2 linked regions of the Macaca mulatta genome follow. The protein of the gene in region 2 interacts with the protein of the main gene of each other region in a pairwise test. Links are inferred from orthologs where the notes say so. Each region holds a gene or a part of one and is shown on either strand. Other genes may lie near its edges.

The links.
Region 1: the proteins of UBASH3B (region 2) and DOC2A interact in binary tests that used the Homo sapiens proteins (3 or more experiments, as listed by UniProt). The link is inferred for Macaca mulatta from reciprocal best matches to the Homo sapiens genes UBASH3B and DOC2A.

Annotation. Positions count from the first base shown.
Region 1 is NC_133425.1:28,559,626-28,564,108, reverse strand, and holds the start of DOC2A (double C2-like domain-containing protein alpha), read right to left. Parts: upstream 3,087-4,483; 5' UTR 2,892-3,086; coding exon 2,698-2,891; intron 2,381-2,697; exon of another isoform or gene 2,343-2,380; coding exon 2,252-2,342; exon of another isoform or gene 2,094-2,251; intron 1,954-2,093; exon of another isoform or gene 1,840-1,953; intron 1,584-1,839; coding exon of another isoform or gene 1,580-1,583; coding exon 1,309-1,579; intron 895-1,308; coding exon 815-894; intron 620-814; coding exon 545-619; intron 449-544; coding exon 339-448; intron 1-338. UniProt on the Homo sapiens protein: Calcium sensor which most probably regulates fusion of vesicles with membranes. Binds calcium and phospholipids. May be involved in calcium dependent neurotransmitter release through the interaction with UNC13A.
Region 2 is NC_133419.1:123,272,728-123,277,020, reverse strand, and holds the start of UBASH3B (ubiquitin-associated and SH3 domain-containing protein B), read right to left. Parts: upstream 3,083-4,293; 5' UTR 2,757-3,082; coding exon 2,596-2,756; intron 1-2,595. UniProt on the Homo sapiens protein: Interferes with CBL-mediated down-regulation and degradation of receptor-type tyrosine kinases. Promotes accumulation of activated target receptors, such as T-cell receptors and EGFR, on the cell surface.

The sequences.
Region 1 (4,483 bases), on a different chromosome or scaffold from region 2:
CACAGCTAATTTTTGTATTTTTAGTACAGATGGGGTTTCACCAAGTTGGCCAGGCTGGTCTCAAACTCCTGACCTCAAGTGATCCGCCCACCTTGGCCTCCCAAAGTGCTGGGATTACAGGCGTGAGCCACCACACTTGGCTGGAAGGAGATATTGGGGGGCAGGAATGGCAGGGAAGTATTTTGGCCTGCTGCCAAAGGGGCTAGGGAGCCGCTGATGGTTCTTGAGCATCAGAGAGGTACAGACTTAATGGGACATAGATCAACCAACCAGCAGTTACAATGTCAGCTGTCCCTGAGCTGCTGCTGGACCTGGGTGGTGGGGAGGGGAGCCCTCACCTGAGCACCTTGTGCGTGATGTCATCATCCGTGATCCCACTGTACGTCAGGTCCTCATTCCACACGGGATTCAGTGTGTTCCTCTGAGTCTTCGTTTTTAGCTTATTAGCCTGGGGTGTGGGGATGAAAGGTTCTCAATACCTGTCCTCCAGCCCCACGGGCCGGAGGCACGGGCTGGGCCGAGCAGGGCGAGAGGAGGCTGTTACCTTACAGGCTCCAGGCAGCAGGTGCAGCTTGACGTAGGGGTCGGCGAGGCCATTGAAATCCATGGGCTTGAGGCCCTGGAGAGGAGGGCAGGGGAGAGGGCTGGAGGCTCCCGGCACCTTTCTCCCTCTTGTAGAGCTGGACCCTGGAGGAGCCCAGAAGGGGGTTGCAAGGGCAGGAGGAAGGAGCAGGCCTGGGAAGGGAAGGAGGAATGGGCCCCCTCTGGGGGCTGCACGCAAACCGCCCGGGCTGGGGCAGCAGGGAGTGCCCACCTTGGCCCTGAGGATGCTACAATGCAGAGTGCAGGAGGCCCGGTCATAGAGAAGGTCAAACTCCAGCATGCCCAGGGCGGCTGGAGAGAGAGGAAAGGCAGCATGGATCGGTTTGGAGACAGGTGTGTGAGAGAGGCCAGCAGGTGGGCACTGGCTGTGTGTGTGTGTCTCTCTCTCTCTTGCCAGCCGGCGAGTGTGAGTGCAAGAGGCTGAGTGGGCCCGTGCGTGTGTGCGTCTGGGTCCCTGGCTCGGCTGCAACTGGGGCTGTGTGGGTGGTGGAGTGTCTCAGCAGAAATACTGAATATTGAGCCTTGCTGAAGCTGTAATCTCCACACCGACTGCAGCTGTGGCAGCCATCCCTGCCACCTCCCCCCCCCCCCACTGCCCTCCTCCCCTACCTACATGCACAGCCAGCAGGGCCCGTTCCCCTCCCCCGGGATGGCAAGCCTGGAGACCCCCACCAGCGCATGGGGCCTCCAAGCCCCCAGACTCACTGGCATCATCCGAGTCATAGCTGTCCACTTCCGCACCATCCTCAGGCGTGGTGGCCCCAAGGAGGGCTGCAGGGGGGGCCAGAGCCAGGGGGGCCAGATGGGTGGGGGCCTCGCCGCCGCCGCCGCCCCCTTCAGGTCCGGGTCCCCGGCGAGGGAAGTAGTCAGAGATCTGGCGGATGGGCCGGATCGGCCCGGGGCACACGTTGATGGCCATGTGCTCCTGGATGTTGATGGTCATGCGGTCGCCCCTGCGGCCCCTCATGCAGCACCCCTGGCTGGGAGAGGGCATGTGAGCCAATGAGCCCATCATACCTAGCCACTCTGGCTGAGGGCCAGGCGACAGCCTCCTCGGTCTGCAGGGCCCTCACTAGCCTCCCTTCCTAGGTGTCGAGGGAGAGGGTGGCCTGTGCCAGTTGGTGGCAGGCAGGAGGCCTGGGCCCTGCAGACCCCACGCTGGCTCCACAGGGGCTGGGCTGCCAACCCACTCCCCGCAGAAGTCGAAGTTGCACCACCCTGTCCTCACCCACCCACCTCCAGGTTGTCCCTGTATCATCTTGCCAGCTCCTTCCTCTCCTCCAGGGCTCCCCTCTGCTCTGCTCCTGAGCCTGCCTGTTCCCCAAGGGACCCTGCAGGGCCCCGCCTCTGTTTCTCGGAGGCTCTGTCCTCCTCTGCACCAGGCGCTGGTCTAGTCAAGGTGTCACCCACCCCTCTAGGCTCCCACTGCCCACTGTCCCTTCATTCAGCCCCAGGACCTGTCTGCCTGCCTGGTTCCCCCGCTCGCTCACCACAGCCCCCGGTGGAGACCCCAGCCTCAGATGCCACCCCTGGCTCCCCAGGGGAGCCAGAAATTGCAGCCGCAGGAGAGCCGAACACCCCCGTAGCGCACACAGGCTGGCACTCTCCCCAGCACCCTCACGCCCCCAGCCTGCCCAGCCCCCTGCACCTGCCTCTGCCTCCAACAGGTGCCCAGGCAATGGGGGGACGGCGGGTGCAGGCTGGGCGGCGGCGGCCGGCGAGGAGAGCGCGGAGTCCGGCTGTGCGAGCCGAGAGGGAGGGAGCGCCGAGAAAGTGCGGGGAGGAGGGGGTGAGCGAGGTGGAGGCGAGGATGCAGCCGGCGCCGGCAGCGTGGGGGGGAGGGGGGGGCGGGGAGGGGCGCCGGGGCTGGGGAGGGGGCGGGATCTCGGACTCCCACCCGGGGCCCGCTCGGGAGCGCACGCGAGCGCACACACAGACACGTGTGCCCGCGCGCGCACACTTACGCAGGGGCACGCGGGCCGGAAAACACTCGTGTGCACACATCCAGCCGGGCACCCCTGCGCGCACACGCCCGTGCCCACGTGTGTACGCTCACACCCTTGCACACCCCCAGGCGCGCGCTGGCACACTTACCCGGAGAACTTCGCACGCACACGCACTCGCAAACACGCGGGCTCCCTGCGCCACCAGCAAGCAGCCGCCAGAATTGCCGGGTGTTCCCCAAGTACTCCTGGGAGACCCGGGCCCCCGCCCCCGCCAGCGCGTGTGGCCACTACTCCTCCTTCCCTCCCGGGTCCCCAGGGCCGGACCACCAGCCTCGTTGTCATGGCGACGCCAGCTCATCTCCCCCGAACCTCGCGCGTCTTCACGCCCCTCCCCCGCAGGGAGCTGGGGCCTCCGTCCTCCCCTCCCCATGTCTGTAGGGACCCAGAGGCGGACAGGAGCAGGGGGTCTGATCCGCCTGCTGTCGCCGGCCGGGGATCTCGGGGTCCCCCGAGCCAGGCTGGGGAGCCTCACGATCTGAGGGAGGAGGCAGAGGTCTGACGCTGCGGCTTCCCGCACACCTCCTCCCTTTGGCCATTCAGGCCTCTCTCCTTGTGGCCCAACCCAAGTCCCAGGGGCCCGTGTCCCCTGACCAGGGATGGCATCTCCTTTAGGAACCACCCTCCCTCACCTTTCCCCCTGCCGTCTCCAGTTCTGCCCCGCAGGTGGGAAGGGGCGTCGGGGCTTAGCTCTGAAGGCCCCCGAGCCCTGCGTTCGTTCCCCATGTGCTGCCATTTCTCACCCAAACCCTGCCACCCCCAAGCCGCCCCCCTGCCCTGCCCTGCGCCTACCACGAAGTGTCAGTCCACCCCTGGCCTTCGGTCTTCACTCACCTGTGACCCAAACTTACCATCCCGAAAACACGAAAGGGCTTATCACCCCCGCTGCCCACCACTGACTCACCCAACCGTTTCCTGCAGTTCCCGGGACACACCTAGACGGCTCAGTCCTAAGGATCTTGGCTCACATGCGCTCCTCTACCTGGGACCGGCGTTTCCTTAGGGAGTCACCCTGGGTCCCCTCTTCCTAGGAACCTTCCTGGGGCATCCCACACTGCCCCTCAGCTCCAGCGCCGTCAGGACTCCGCTCAGCACCGTTTCGCCAGTGCCTCCCCCACCAGCAGGGAGTTCCACTGGAGCGGCTGATTCATCTGGGAGTTCCTAGTGTCCCAAACTGGGCCTGGCACGAAGTTGGCATCTCTAAGTGCTGTTATTTAAAAGAGAAATATGGTTGCACGACAAAGTGAACATACCGAACACCACCTAATCTTACCCTTAAAAATGGTAAAGATGGTACATATCGATGTGTGTATTTCACTGCAATTTTTTTTTTTTTTAAGTCAGAGAAATGGAGTCCAGCCTGGTGGCAGATGCCTGTAATCCCAGCTACTCCAGGGACTGCCGCCAGAGGATCGCTTGAGTGAAGCCAGACTGGGCAACACGGTGAGACACAGTCTCTTAAAAATAAAATAATAATAATAAAATAAAAAGTAAGAGAAATGTAAAGTCAACAACACTGAGGGGGTGAGGCACACACCTATAATCCCAACGCTTTGGGAGGCCGAGGCGGGTGGATCACCTGAGGTCAGGAGTTTGAGACCAGCCTGGCCAACATGGTGAAACCCCATCTCTGCTAAAAATACAAAAAATTAGCCGAGCTTGGTGGCATGTGCCTTGGGAGACTGAGGCAGGAAGATCACTTGAACCCGGGAGGTGGAGGTTCCAGTGAGCTGAGATCATACCACTGTACTCCAACCTGGGCTATAAGAGCAAAACTCAGTCTCAAAACAAACAAAAAACCCTGAGAAATCACTTATTACCCATAAAATGGGCAAAATCAAAGTGTCTGGGCCGGTGGTGGTGGCTCACACCTGTAA
Region 2 (4,293 bases):
AGTAACTAATACTTCATGATTGCTCACTATGTGCCAGGAACTGTTCTAAGCATTTTACCCACATTAAATCATTTCTATCCTGGCCCTACTGGCCCTAGATGGTGTGAGGCCTGGGCTGTGCAGATAGAATACCTGGGTTTGAATCCCAGCTTCACTGCTTACTGTTGTGACCTTGAGTAAGTTATGCAACCCTTCTACACCTCAGTTGCCCAATTCATAAAATGGGCATGTGGTACCTTCCTCATTGAGTTGCTAGGAGGATAAAATGGGTAATAAAGATATAAGTACTTAGAACAGTATAGAATAAGTATTGAATACATGCTAGCTATTAGGAGATCTCAGGGGTTGAGCAAGCCAAAATTAGACCCTTATGCTAATCTGTCAAGACACGGCAAGACCTCCCGGACTCAGTGCAGGAGAAAAGATGTCCCTTTAAAGCTGATTTGAATCTCAAATATGACTGTCTGAGGAGTTCAGTTAAGTATTTCTTCCCTTAATTAAGCAATTTAGGTTTTTAATGCTGGCCTCATTTCAAAAAAGGCAGTAGCCTGAGACTCTGCTAATTCTGCAGCATTCCCCAGCTGACTTCCCCACTCCCACCTCCAGTTTTTTTTTTTTTTTTTTTTTTTTTTTTTTGAGATGAAGTCTCGCTCTGTTACCCAGGCTAGAGTGCTGTGGCGCGATCTTGGCTCACTACAACCTCCACCTACCGGGCTCAAGTGATTCTCTTATCTCAGCCTCCCAAGAAGCTGGGATTACATGCATGCACCACCCCACCCAGCTGATTTTTGTATTTTTAGTAAAGACAGGGTTTCACCATGTTGCCAGGCTGGTCTCGAATTCCTGTCCTCAAGTGATCTGGCTGCCTCAGCCTCCCAAAGTGCTAGGGTTACATCCAGCCCCACCTCCAGTTTTTAAGGAGAGTTATGCACGTTGATCATCCATACTGATGACTTCACCTGAAGCGTCCACACCTGACACACCCCTGCAGAACCCACATTTTCTCCCTGTAATTCTGGTATCAGGAACTGGAGCCCTAGTATTAGGAAGTTGTATTAGGAAGTCAGTGGAAGGCAGAAACCATCAGTCCATTTTACGGCCTTCTAAGGTCACTCCAACGTGTCCCAGCAGCCTGGAGAATAACAAATTCAAGGGTCTACTTTGATTAAGAGATTACAACCAAGTTAGTAAAGAATAAACAAGGTTTGCCCAGGGACACGGGAGGGGAGACCTAAAGTTATCGCCTGTAATCCCAGCACTTTGGGAGGCCGAGGTGGGTGGATCACCTGAGCCTGACCAGCCTGGCCAACACGGCGGAACTCCATCTCTTCTAAAAATACAAAAATTAGCCGGGCGTGGTGGCACACACCTGTGGTCCCAGCCACTCAGGAGGCTAAGATTGGAGAATCGCTTGAACCTGGGAGGCGGAGGTTACAGACGTCGCGCCCCTGCACTCCAGCCTGGCGACACAGCGAGACTCCATCTCAAATAAATAAATAAATAAATGAAGTTATCACCTGAAAAAAAAAAAATGTGAGAAGGGAAAAAATAAAAAGCGCTTTCATTTACTTGGCCCTTGCTGATAAAGTTTGCCCAACTCTCCTGTTTAGGTGATGTAATTCAAAGATGAAAAGAAGCTGCGCCCAGTCCGGACCCCAGGCCTTGTGTCCTCACCTAAGAAATCTGCACGCCAGGGATTAACCAGGGGAGAAGGGCCTGGCCGCTGGGCCTTGGCTTCCTCTTAGGCAGAGTTCCAGCCCCTGAGACTTGAGCCGACCGGCTTAAGACGACTCCGGCCGCCGCCGCCCTATGCTGGCAAAGAGGCCTCTCCCCAGCAGGCTCCAGGGGCAGCCACCTGCTCTCTCCCTGCCCTTCCCTACCCCACTCTCCTAGAGCAAGGATGAAGGAGAACAGCTCCCCCTCCTTACTCTCAGGCACCCACAGATTTCTGAGCTGCCGTCACCACTGACGAGAACCCAGGTTCTCTGGAGGGATCGCTTCTCCTTCTCATTCCATCCTCCCCATCAATGAACACGCAGCAACACCCACGCTCCCGCTCCTCCTACTCCAGGGGGAGACCGAACCCGAGAGCGACATCCGGAGCTGGAAGTCGCTGCAACGGGGGCGCCGGCCTCCCTGCCCCGCAGTCTCTCGACCTTTCCCAGACACCGGAGGATCCCAGGCCAGCCCAGTATTCCAGGCGGAAAGGGTGCCCGAGTCTTCCGCAGGGCCCCGCCTCCTTAGGCGCTCGGCGCTGGAGACCTAGGAGAGCGCGCGAGAGAAACGCTGAGCTCCACCCGCGGGGCCCGGAGGCTGGGCATAGTACCCGGGACTCGAACCCCGCGCCCTCGTCCCACAGCTTTAGGCATCCCACAGCAGGCCCCGGCCCAATGCCCCCGCGCCGCGTCTTCCCCGGCACCCCCGCCCGGAGGCGAGTCCCGGGCTGCCAGCGCGCCCATCCTGCCCCCAACAGGTCTCGGGCAGCGGGGAGCGCGCCGCCTGTCCCGCAGGCGCTGGGAGGCGAGCCGGAGCGAAGCCGAGGGCCGGCCGCGCGCGCGGGAGTGGTCGCCGAGGGCTGCGAGCCCGGCCACTTACGCGCGGGCTCTGGGGAACCCCATGGAGAGGAGCACGTCCAGCGCCGATCCATGCTTGATGGTGCCGGGGCGCTGCTGGCGGTTCCTCCGGGGGGTGACTTTGCTGTACAGCTCCTCTCTCGCAGCCATGCCGAGCGGACTGGGTTGGCCGTACTGAGCCATGGCTCAGCGGCCAGCCATCGCCAGGGAAGGAGCCCGAGCCGGATGGTCCGGGAAGGAGGAGGGAGTCGGGCTCGGCCAGAGGAGGGGGCTCGGGGACCCAGAGCCAGGCAGGAGGCGGCGGCGGCGGAGGCGGCGCTCCGAGCTTCCCCAGTGTCGAGACTCTGACGCTTCCTGGTGAGGCCACAGGAGCCAGAACGCCGGCGAGCGGCCGCTGCGGGACCAGCCTTAGCCACTCGGGCCCCCGGCTGCCCCCAGCGCTGCGCCTGCAGTAGCCCTGTCTCCTCCGCCCCCTTCCCTCTCCTCGCCTAGCAGTCCGGGAATTTGCAATGAGTAATTTTTGAATGGATCAAAAAGGAAAAGGAGCCTTGTGGGCTGGCCCTGACTTGCCTGTACCCGGGCCCCGCCCCTCTCTTAAAGCGGCCGCGCTGTCCGAGGCTGCTCGGTGCGTGGAAGAGCTCTAGTCGCGCTACTTGGAGGCGGAGGATCCCAACCTTATGGGCTGCTTGTGTGCTTCAGCTCCCGACCGTCACGCCGGGCGCCCCAGCCCTCTCTTTGGCTGGCATACCCTCCCAGCTGGGCCTCAAGACAGCAGATCAACCCATTTCAAGTTTCTTGTGGTTCTAGATGCGGTCATTAACGGAAATCGGGTGAACTGATGGATGATACTAATGGACCAGAAGGCCAAGTCATAAGTCCTAGGTAAAAGGTTTTGCTTCCCAAAGATCCTGCAAAACCCAAAGGGTTGTTAGGACCATCGGAGGCTGAGTTCCCAATCAGCCGTCCAAGTGGCTGCACTCAAGACCTACTGTGCTCTACAAGGTTATGGTCAGTGACTGGATAGTGCCTTCTGGGTGGGGCAGAGGGAGTGGGGAACAGGACCTCATGTTCTCAGAGCTGGCAGGACCCGGGAGGGGACAAGAAAAGAGGGGCAGGGCAGAAAGAAGAAGAGGGAAGGGAAAAAGAAAGGAGGAAGGAGGAGGAGTAGAAGGAAGGGCTAGGAGGGTAGAGGAAGAAGGAACAGAGAAAAGACACTTCCTAATTATAAGAGGTGTTCAAAAGGGAATAGGCTTATTTCATGAGGGAGTGGATATCCTGTCAATAAAAGGATTCAAAGAAGGACTGAATCACCACTGCACAATAATAAGTGAATTGTATCGTAGGTTGGACAAAACTACTCCCACTGCAAAGATGGTGGAAGTCATAACCATATTGATGCTCCATGCCCCACCTGGTAAATTTGGCTGGGGGATGTTAACGCTCTTTCATTTGGAAACAAAGTCATTGTCTTCAGTCAGGGACAAGGGTCCCACTTGCTATAATGAAAGAGGCAATGAGTAAACCATAACCGATAGTCTTTTTTGGGTAATAATAGTAATAATAAAACCTAACATTTATTGGGCTCTTGTATGTGCCTGTCATTGTGCTGATCGTAATAAATGAATTAACTCACTGAATTTTTACACTGACCCTAGGAGTGTATTTAATCATTATCCCAGTTTTATAGATGAGAAAACTCAGCTCAGAGAGGTTGGGGAAG